Yarrowia lipolytica: one gene and its partner. The protein of the gene in region 1 purifies or fractionates together with the protein of each later gene. This does not show direct contact. Links are inferred from orthologs where the notes say so. Each region holds a gene or a part of one and is shown on either strand. Other genes may lie near its edges.

The links.
Region 2: the proteins of YALI1_E38526g (region 1) and YALI1_C07770g purify together in Saccharomyces cerevisiae (affinity purification with mass spectrometry; 4 studies listed by BioGRID). This does not show direct contact. The link is inferred for Yarrowia lipolytica from reciprocal best matches to the Saccharomyces cerevisiae genes PRE4 and SCL1.

What each region holds. Positions count from the first base shown.
Region 1 is NC_090774.1:3,850,154-3,855,349, reverse strand, and holds YALI1_E38526g (uncharacterized protein), read right to left. Parts: upstream 2,774-5,196; coding exon 1,976-2,773; downstream 1-1,975. Other genes in the region: YALI1_E38512g (uncharacterized protein), read right to left, coding at 3,318-3,544, 4,011-4,077; YALI1_E38491g (uncharacterized protein), read right to left, coding at 4,915-5,196. UniProt on the Saccharomyces cerevisiae protein: Non-catalytic component of the proteasome which degrades poly-ubiquitinated proteins in the cytoplasm and in the nucleus. It is essential for the regulated turnover of proteins and for the removal of misfolded proteins.
Region 2 is NC_090772.1:774,637-779,898, forward strand, and holds YALI1_C07770g (uncharacterized protein), read right to left. Parts: upstream 2,437-5,262; coding exon 1,630-2,436; downstream 1-1,629. Other genes in the region: YALI1_C07721g (uncharacterized protein), read left to right, coding at 1-429; YALI1_C07758g (uncharacterized protein), read right to left, coding at 740-1,234; YALI1_C07780g (uncharacterized protein), read left to right, coding at 3,386-4,687.

The DNA.
Region 1 (5,196 bases):
CCGAACCTTCACAAAATGTCTCTGGAACGGGCCGTGGCGGTCGCTGCGTGTCCAGGGACCTGCAGTGCGTCTTGGTGCTGACAGGGGTGACATTTCGACCCCTTTTTCCTGTACATTCGGCCTGACTTGTGGGGGCTAGGGGTCCCGTCTGCATCCCCATGTCTCACTAACCTCGCTCTAGCTTGCTTCTCTGCATGGATGTTTCTGCGGATGGGCTGTCACAAGGTTCTGTAGATCTTTACTAGGGTCATCAAAACAGAGGGACGAGGGAGAAGAAAAACCGAGCACAACGACGAGACATCAATCACAATGCTCCTGGTGGACTTAGCCAGGCATAGCTCCCACTCTACTGCCTAGAACACGTCAACAAACACACCCTGGTCGTTGACATGGTCTTTATTTGTCTGTCTGTCTGTCTTGGCTGACCTACAGCTGACCACGTCAGATCTCAAACTCAGGAAACGAAAAACCAAATCTGTACAACATGAGTGTACAGAGACAAGACAGGTGGGCAAAAGACTTAATTGACGATGGAGTATCAGAAGCGATGGATCAGTGGATCAACAAGATTTGCCCGTACTACAAAGCTCCAGCACGCTTACCGTACGTACAATGTGGGCTTGCAAAATCCATCAGTCCCACATCTCAAATTACCTGCATTGTCTTGAAAACTGTCTTGGCATGGGGACAGGCTGGTACCGATACATACGGTACGAGTACCGGGTAGGTATCGTATCAGAACAGTTATACGTGGGCCATTGTTGTGATGTGAAATGCACAGGCGGCACTTTTATCGTAAAACGAGCCCAATTTGTCTATGCCGAGGTATGTGTGGTGCTACAAGTAGTACATACGGTCCGTCTGCTACAATAGTACATACAGTAGTATGTACAGTGTATATACGGCGGTCCAAGGACTACTGTAGATACTAGTACGAGTAATACGATACTGTATTACGCTGCAAGTCCAGGTATGGTAGCGCCATTCTCCTCTTTCGCTGGCTGCCAAATTACAGGGTTGCATTTACAAAGAAAAGATACGGAGGAAAGGGTATTGACGTGACAAAGAAACCATTATAACCACTATACGTGCAAGGAGTCGGCCATGGATCGGTCTGGCCTTGGAGAGGGTATGTGGATATCTGTTTACTGTAGTAGTACCGAACGAGTCCTAGCGGGAGCCCTATTGTACAGTGCTCGTACCGGTACTTGTATATGTTTTACTTAGTCACTTAGGGTATTCTTAAAACTCAAGTAACGTACTTCAAGTATCGTACATTCTACAATGGAACCCTCAATGTTTTTTGTTGAACATGGTAAGGAAGATTAAAATGTGGAGGCTTTACTAAGGATGATATAGAGCTGAGAGCTTCAACAAGCTGTTCTATACAGTATCAATAATATCAAATATCAAGCAAACAACAAGCCAGACAAAACCTCTACTTCCCTGTATCTAATGAAGATCTTTCCCGGCCTGTAACCCCAATGATAGATCTCTACTCCTGTTGTACGACTCGCTCATACAGGCGACTCCGTTATTGTGGTTCAAATATGGAAAGATGTACTGGGTGATCAAGGTAGAGAAGTACTCAGGTTCATCAGCTGAAACACGTTTTCAAACGACTATCTGCTGCAAATTTTGAGACCCATGGACCATTTACAGGGTACGAGTACACTCCATAGTGAGATCATCGTCAACATTAGAACAAAACACAGTGAAAACAAGTTGACTCTTTTGTACAGTGAAGGGTCACTAAGACATGTACTCTGTGTCAGAAATGCCTTTGGATTCTGAATCGATTAGTGTAGGGATACTCGTACTTCTCGTCATGCCCTGTAACAGTTGAGAAGCCACGATCGGACTTCCATGAAACGGCCCTACACAGTGCAACAGTAACGAGGTGGCTATATATACGACCCTACTTTCAACCGCTTCTACCCCGACTCGTCTCGTTCTGCAATCATTACCTATATCCCTAAGAGGTGGTTCGACCGTATCCTCTGATGTCTTCAGCAAACCGCCAGTTCTGATCCTTGCATTTGATATCCTTCTCGATCTTGACATTGCCCTTGGTTATAGTGGCCACGTCGTACTTGTCGATGGACCGGGCATCTCGGTAAAAGAGAACCTTCATGCACTTCTCCACCATGGCTCGAGCGTCAGCCTCCGTCACGTTCTTGTATGAGTCGGGGTAAGGCACCAGCTGTCGCAGCAGAGGCAGGGCCAAGTAGGCACCAAAGCCCGTTGCCAGAGCGGGAGAGCTGAAGGTGACGCCGAGCAGGTCGACGTGGCTCAGAAAGGGCTCGTCCTTGCTGTCAACACCGCCCACAAGGACGGCGTTCCACAGAGGATCCATCTTTGATCTTCGGTTGTAGTAGACCTTGGACAAGTAGTTGAAGATGTTTTCCGAGTGCAGCGACTGGTCGCCGCTGTTGTCGTAGTTCTCCTCGATCTCTAGCTCCTCCAGCAGTCTCTGGACGTACTGCATGTCTGAAACGTCGCCTCCAATGCCAACAATGGTGGAATCGCCGACCTGGGTCAATCGATCCATGTTGTCGAACCGAGCCAGCGAACCGTAGGAGGCCAGGGTGTCAGCAGCCACAACCACGCCTTTATCGAACTTGATTCCAATCACAGAAGAACCGGTAACTGTGGGCTGCTGTGTGTGTTTCTTGGGCAGCGAGTGAGTGTTGGGGGCCTGCGAGATGGCATCCGAGTAGTGGCCGTAAATGTCGTCTCTTGGACGGCCCCAATTGATTGGTGATTGCTCCATTGTAAGTGTGTGTAGGTGTGTACAAGTCTCGGGTGACAGATGGATGTGGACTGTAACTGCGAGGCCATGGTGGCGGCGAAGGTTTAGGTTGGGAGGAGTGCTTATGTAATCTAAAGTGGAGGGGTTTGAAACGGGGCCAATTTTGCTCCGATTGAATAGATATTATGTCCAATATCTGATGTGACTCTCCTGTGTTTTTTTATATAGTCATATTGTGTATATATTGCTTATTAATCCCGTTCCAAGTGTTCTGTTTCGGACTACCATTGGATGTGCTGTTCGCCACCAGCAGACCCTAAAATGATGGGGTTCTCAATCTTGAGTTGACGAGGAGAGATTTTGATGGTCGGATAGAAGTACAATTACAACTATTTGTGCGATATAGCGAGCCCTTTATATATTATTTTTCTTTTATATAATTAATGCCACCCACTTTTACATCACACAATACATGTCATAACCTCTTTGCATGTGACTATGGTGGCAGCAGCAACTGTACACCCCCCTTCTCTATAATATCATCAATTGTCATTGGTTACATCGGTTAAAAGAAAGCACCGCCGGAGTTGACCTCGTTGATCTCGTTCTCGGAGAAGGGTCGGTACTGGAATCGCTTGGACAGCTCTCGTCGAGAAGCAAACTCGCCGTCTCCAGGAGGGGAATAGTTACTGCTGGAGCCCTTGTTGAGAGGGATGGTGGCAGCGGTGAATGATGGTGGTAGAGATCCGGTCGGCGACAAGGGATGGGGTCGTGGGGTGTGGTCCACTTTGACTGTGTTAGTTGGTTCAGATGGTGGTTGTTGGTAGAGTGAATGTAGGGAGGTGAGTTCAGAAGAAGAGAGGAGAGAAGAAAAGAGAAGAGCAAAGAAGAATTCGCGGAAGTTTTTTTGGTTGGTGATGGTGTCACAGCCGGAGCAGATTCGCGGTTATGCTCATGTTATGACTATGTCTGTCTCGACAGTCTCAGCACATCCTCACATGCATCATCGCGCCGCAAGGATGATGAAGTACAGCGCAATCTCGATTCGACTGAAATCAATCCAACTGTCACACGAATCTTTCCGTGACTAGGAGTCACGCTCTCAATTCATTGACCATCTTGTTGATGGCTCCTCCACACCACTCCTGTATGTCACATAGACATGTCTCTCCATATCCCGGGGCTGGTCGCGGCAATTTCAGGGCGCACAAAACGCTTCTGTGTCGAGGTCCAACTACTCAATCAGGGTCGTACTCACCGTTGGTGGGTCGCTTGCCCAGGAACTTGATCATTGGGGTTCTCAAAAGGACTCTGGTGGCTCTCATTGTGGTTTTGGTGTATTAGTTATCGGGAGAGTCGTGTGAAGTTAGAAAAGTGTACTTACCTGTGCATACAACATTAGGCTCTGGCGTTTGGTTGGGGAGACATGCCCCGAGAGGGAGTGATGGAAGCGTTCTCACTGGTGGTTCTGGACAGAAATTGAGCGCAATTTTTTTTGGAAAAGTAACAGCTGACTCATTTTTTAATTAACCAATCTTCTTCCGAGGACTAAAAGCAACTTCAGTCCCCATTTCTGACTAACACTGGAAGATCCCGGAAAAAGTCGGAACTCAATATTGCCCCGAAATCTTCTTCAACGTCACGGGAATAACAGGAGATGGGTATATTGAGGGTGATGCGGTGACAGGTGGGGTTGAACTATTGATGTCTGTCCCAGATACTCTAGCATCCAGTCTACAACTCTGAAAACACCTTTTGGACGGGTTGATGACCTTTTCCAAACACTGCTCTGAGATCGGAATCTGACTAATGGTAACTAACACAACCGGAAAGTATCATTTAGCAGGTCTATGATTGAACCGATGAAACTGGGAAATTATTGTTAATTTATTGCATTGAGTAGAGAAAGTACGGCAGAAGTGTTAAAAGTTGTATATACCATTCATTGGTTCTGTATAATGTTTCTAATGAGTAAAGTTGGTGTAATTACTTTGTAGTATACATGATACAACCCCTTGGTATGTATGTACAGTAAAACTGCAGAGCTTGGTCAAATAAGTACTGTTTTTACTACAATTCAGTCAGTGGTTTGGTGAGAGCTGCTCATCTTCCTCGCTCTTCTTCCTCATTTCATCTGTCATAATATTCACGCCCTATGTACATTACTGGGGAATGGCGTGGTATCGCTTGCCTCGGAAAGCAAACATTTGCTGGTTAAACTGGTAAACCTCCGTAGAATTGAGATCGTTGAGCTCCCACTTGGTCGAGCCAAAGATGTTCTCTGAGGGCTCCAGCAGCACGTCCAGCTTGGAGCCAAACTTGTCCATCAGCCAGTTCCAGTCTCGCTCAAGGTCATCCTTGTGGAAACCGGTGGAGAAGATGGCACACTTGGACTCCAGCAGACCGGGCAACGACTTGGCCCACTGATCCATGGCCTCGGGGGC
Region 2 (5,262 bases), on another chromosome or scaffold:
CCTCACAGTGTAACCATGGCTGCCCTGGCTCTCTGGGCGTTTGTGTTTGTCAACTCTGGATGTGAGGATCATGCCATGGCGTTGTACAAAGATCCCAATGTTCGGCTGACGGCCGAGAAGGGCAAGATCACCGAGTGGGGCTCAGAGATGCTCACGCGCAGCGAGGAGCGGCCCATCAACAGCTATGTGCCCAAGGAGGATGGCTACGAGTATTTGAAGCGGCTGTCGGGTCTGTCTCCTGTTGAGATCCGAACAGCCCCGAACCTGCAGAACATCATTGGTCTGTTGCAGGTGATTTGGAAGGCTATTGAAAAGGTGCAATGGGAGATTCTGCAGGAGCTGAGTCGGCTGCTTCAGCATTGTATGGAGCGAAGCCGGGGCAAGCAGCAGCAAAAGTGCGACTTTATGGTCGTTTGGAGATCCAGATAGGATAGTAATGTATAATAATAGACGATGTGGGCACCAGCGCGAGATATAGAATCGAAGCAAAAGGCTTATGGTGAAGGAGTACTTATCCACTGGAAAGTACATACAGTAGTACATTGATTGATCTACTGACGTTGTATAGATATATGCTGTTAACTGAGGGCATTTCTGTGTATACATACATACTGCAGTCCTACAGTATTGGAGCAGAGGTCTACCTCTTCCCCCTACCCCCTTCAGTTATTTGTACATATTCTATCATGGATCTGTTTCTCTATTATTTATGTTCTCCGGACGCCCATCTATGTCCTTCTCATTCAACGTCGAAATCGATCTCCGCGGAGTCTCCTGCGGCGTAGTCAAACAGGTCCTGGAGAGGCTCGAGTCTGGATTCGTTGGCAGCTCTCTGGTTGGCAATGTGGCGTTTGAGCGATGCAGAGATGAGGGTCTTTGCTCTCTGAAGCTGTTCGTTCATGTTGTGGAGCTCGCTATTGAGCTTCTGCATCCGTTGGAGCTCGTTAGTCAGTTCCTCCACCTCCTGCTCACGCATCTTGAGCTCGTTGAACAAGGTGATGACACCTGCTCGGAAGGCGAGGTCTTCGGCCGCGTCACAAATGACAGCCGAGACGGGACGGAGACGCGGATTGTCCTCGCAGGCCTCCTTGAGAGCCAGAAAGGGGTCCTGCTTGGTGGGAGGCGTGTTGGTGATCATTTGTGGGCTAGCTAGATAAGTGTTTAGTTGAGACAAAGAAGAAGCTATTTGTTTTGTTGTCATAAATATAGAGTTACTGGGACAACTATTTGACATACTCAGAGGTGCAGTACTGTAGATAACGCGAGAGAGAGAGAACCCGACAGACAGATGAGATGACGCGTATTGTACTTGTAAAACACAACCAATGAGCTATACAATAGTCTTGAGAACGACCCAGATTCACTTGGATGTAATTCTTAGATTTCCCACTCAACAGTGTTCGTCTTCCTTACCATTATCTTCTGTGAACAAAACCATCCTGTATGAACAGTTACAGTAAAACGAGTACACACACAAATCCACCCCTATGTTCCTTCCACTGTCCATTTTCATATCAATATATTTATTCCTTCTCTAATTGGCCTCAATGAGGGATGTTAATAGAATCATCATGCTAAAACCATCACCACGCCATCTTCTCAGTGTACCATATTCTCATCTCTTCGGTATTAATCCTGCTCGGCGATAGCCACCAGCCGCTCGTCAATCTCCTCCACAGTCAACTTTCTAAATCCGTCCTTTGTAGCCACACCAATCTCAATGTCATTCTTCTTGAAGTCCACAGACAGAGCAGTGGAAAGAGCGGAAATGGCGGTTTCGGTTACCTCGTTGACATCTCCAGCAGCATACTCCTTCTTCTTGAGCTTCTTTTCCAGGAAGTTGTTAGCCTCCTGCTGCTTGGGACCCGATGCAGTGGCCTTGTATCCCACGTAGTAGCCGGCAGGGTCGCACTTGTACAGCTCAGGTCCCCGCTCGTCGTCAATGGCAATCAGCGTCATGATCACGCCCAGCGGTCGCATGTATGCTCTCTGAGTGTACACCTGGTTGATGTTGGCCATTCGCTTGGCCAGCATATCGCAGGGCATGTCGTATCCGTACTTATATCGGAACTCTGCGGCCTCTCCTCGGGCTCGTTGGACAGCTGCACGAGCGTCGGGAATCTGGCCAGTCAGCACTGCTCCGATGCTAGGAGAGATTCGGAAAATGTACGACACGGTGGAAGGGTCCAACAGCTTGTCGGAGATTTTCTTTTGCGAAACGACAACCGCGCAGTCCTTGCCTCGGATGCCCAGCGACGTGATGTTGGCAGAGTTGCATGCTTTGAAGGCGTACTCGACCTGGTACAGTCGGCCCTCAGGCGAAAAGATGGTAATGTGGCGATCGAATCCAGCAGAGCCTGTGTTAGCGATATCCGAATAGTCGGCGGCGCAATCGAGTCGCGTGATCCGTCTTGTCCCCATTGGCGACCGATCCATCGCTCAATACTTACCTGACATTTTCCTGTTGTGTGGTTCTGGGTGGCAATGAAGAGTACTGTAACCACCGTGAGCATGATGTATGTGGCGATGCGGGAGAGTAGGGTTAGGGTTAGGAGGGAACCACCCTGAGAGCGATAGTTGGGGTTTAGTTGGGAGTTCAGTTGAATGTGGAGGAGAGGTGAGTTGGTGGTGTTTGGAGGGTTACGGAGCTCAAAAAAAGTCGATTGGGGAGGTCTGAGTGGATGATACTATTATTCATATAGACTGAGACTCCTGTGAGGGTATTTGGTGCCTTACTTTGAGTGTTATGTTGAGCTGACCTCGGTTAAACAGGTAAACTAATCTCAAACTTGAGGTTCTGAAAACGGAAATTTATAAGGGACGTTTCCATCGTGTTGGAGGTGTTTGATCAAGCTAGTGATTTTTCCAGTCGTTCAAATGTAGCTTTAATAATGGTTTTCCGGAATTTTTATATTTCTGACGTCTCTATACCCTCCGTTATATTGACTCTTTTGAGACTACTGTATGTACAGTATGTACTTGTAGATGTTAGCTGTGTATAGTGGTAAGGAGGTAGAGACATGGCAGTGGGTATTGGGTCAGGTGCTACATGATGAGAGAAAATTACTTGCTCAATAAAGTAAGCCATGGTCAGATAATGGCCAACATTAGAGAAAAAGATATGCTCACAAGCCATTTTTCCCGACTTTTCGCCACCTTTTCTATCTGTCCTAGAATTTCACCCTACCAATAAAGTTTCTTATATGCACAATTAATTCACCTCCATCACCCATCTCCAGTGCACTAAACAATATACGACAGAAAAAAAAAAGCACATAATACGGGATTTATCGGCAGAGACGCGGCACAAGTGACACCAAAATCAACGCGACACCGTCACAAACACAACACATAGCATCACATCACATTCCACTTCTCTACAGTCATGTCAGAACCAACCATCGTGTTTGACTCCAAGACGGTGGAAAACACGCCTCTCTACGAGTCGTTTCTGACGACACAAAAACGCCGCGTGTCGTACCATTTCAACGAGGAGGCTGCGCGATACCATTATGGAGTCCGTCACCCCATGAAACCGTTTCGACTCATGCTGACAGACCATCTGGTGCTGGGATACAAGCTACACAACAAACTGGACTTGTACAGATCCCGAAGAGCCACAGAAACAGAGGTGCGGGAGTTCCACGCCGAAGAGTACATTGATTTCTTGCAACGTGTCACTCCGGATAACATCAAAAAGTTCCAGCGAGTTTTACCCAAGTTTAACATTGGAGACGATTGTCCCATTTTCGACGGCATGTACGACTACTCGATCATTTACGCAGGTAGCAGTTTGGACGCGAGTCGAAAGCTTCTTGCTGGCCAGTCAGATATCGCCATCAACTGGTCTGGAGGTCTGCATCATGCGAAAAAGTTTGAAGCCAGTGGATTCTGTTATGTGAACGACATTGTGTTGGCGATTCTGAACCTTCTCAGAATGTATCCACGTGTTCTTTACATTGATATCGACATTCACCACGGAGACGGAGTGCAGGAGGCGTTCTATTCGACCGACCGAGTCATGACTCTGTCGTTCCACAAGTATAACGGAGAGTTCTTCCCTGGTACGGGAAACTTTGACGAGATTGGAACTAGTCTGGGCAAGAACTACTCACTCAACGTGCCGCTACGAGACGGAATCGACGACGAGTCGTACGTGCGGCTGTTCAAGAGTGTTTTAGAGCCTGTTCTCAACAGTTACAGACCCTCGGCTATTGTGCTTCAATGTGGAGCTGATTCGCTTGGTGGAGATCGTTTGGGATGTTTCAATCTCAACATCAAGGCCCATGGAGAGTGCGTTGCATATACAAAGTCGTTTGGCCTGCCTCTGATTGTGCTTGGAGGAGGAGGATACACCCCTCGCAACGTGTCTCGATTGTGGTGTTATGAGACCAGTGTGTGTCTGGACGTTGATCTGGAGACTCGGTTGCCTTCTTCCATGCCTTTTCTCAAGTATTTTGCTCCAGATTACTCGTTGCATCCCAACCTGGCTGGTAAGATCGACAACAAGAACTCCCGCAAGTTTCTGGATTCTGTGCATGTGCAGGTGATGGAACAGCTGAGAACTTTGCAGGGAGCCCCCAGTGTTCAGATGGCTGAAATTCCGCCGGACCTGGCCGGTCTGACTGAGGAGGGAGAAAAGCAGCGACGAGATGAGCTTGACGAGGCGATGAAGGATGCGAGGTAGTCGGGCATGGAGCACATTATATTTATTGTAAATAGGCAGGGAGTCGAAAGGCTCGTAATCAACTAATGATGATATTGGGGGCACAGAAACGACTTCAAGTACCACTATCGATAGTTGACGCATTTACTTGAGACGGACGACGGATACTCGTACAAAACTGGACATTGTTCAACACACCAGATATGATCGTTTGTCTCCTTAGAGGTATGCTTACGCGCTACACTTAGACTTGCAGGGTTATGCTTATTGGAGGCTCAAAAATGGGCTGATGAAAAGTATTGCAACTGTATCTGGATGTATGTTGCATTATCGACCGTGGCATTTGCCAGAATGGGAGTGAGACGGGAGCACGGGCTTTTTCGGACGTGTGACGGCGTGCGTTGTTTCAGATTTATTTGATAAGATCGGCGTGAGAATTTTGCGCTGCTGAGTATGGTGGTATTCGGCCGGCTCGTGGATTAGGAGAGGGCCACCAGGTGCTAGTGTGTTGGATAGTGGTCTGTTTTCTATGTACATACAGTTCAATTGAGTGATTTCTTTTTCAGTCTTGTTGAGCTGCTACTTTACTCGTATCG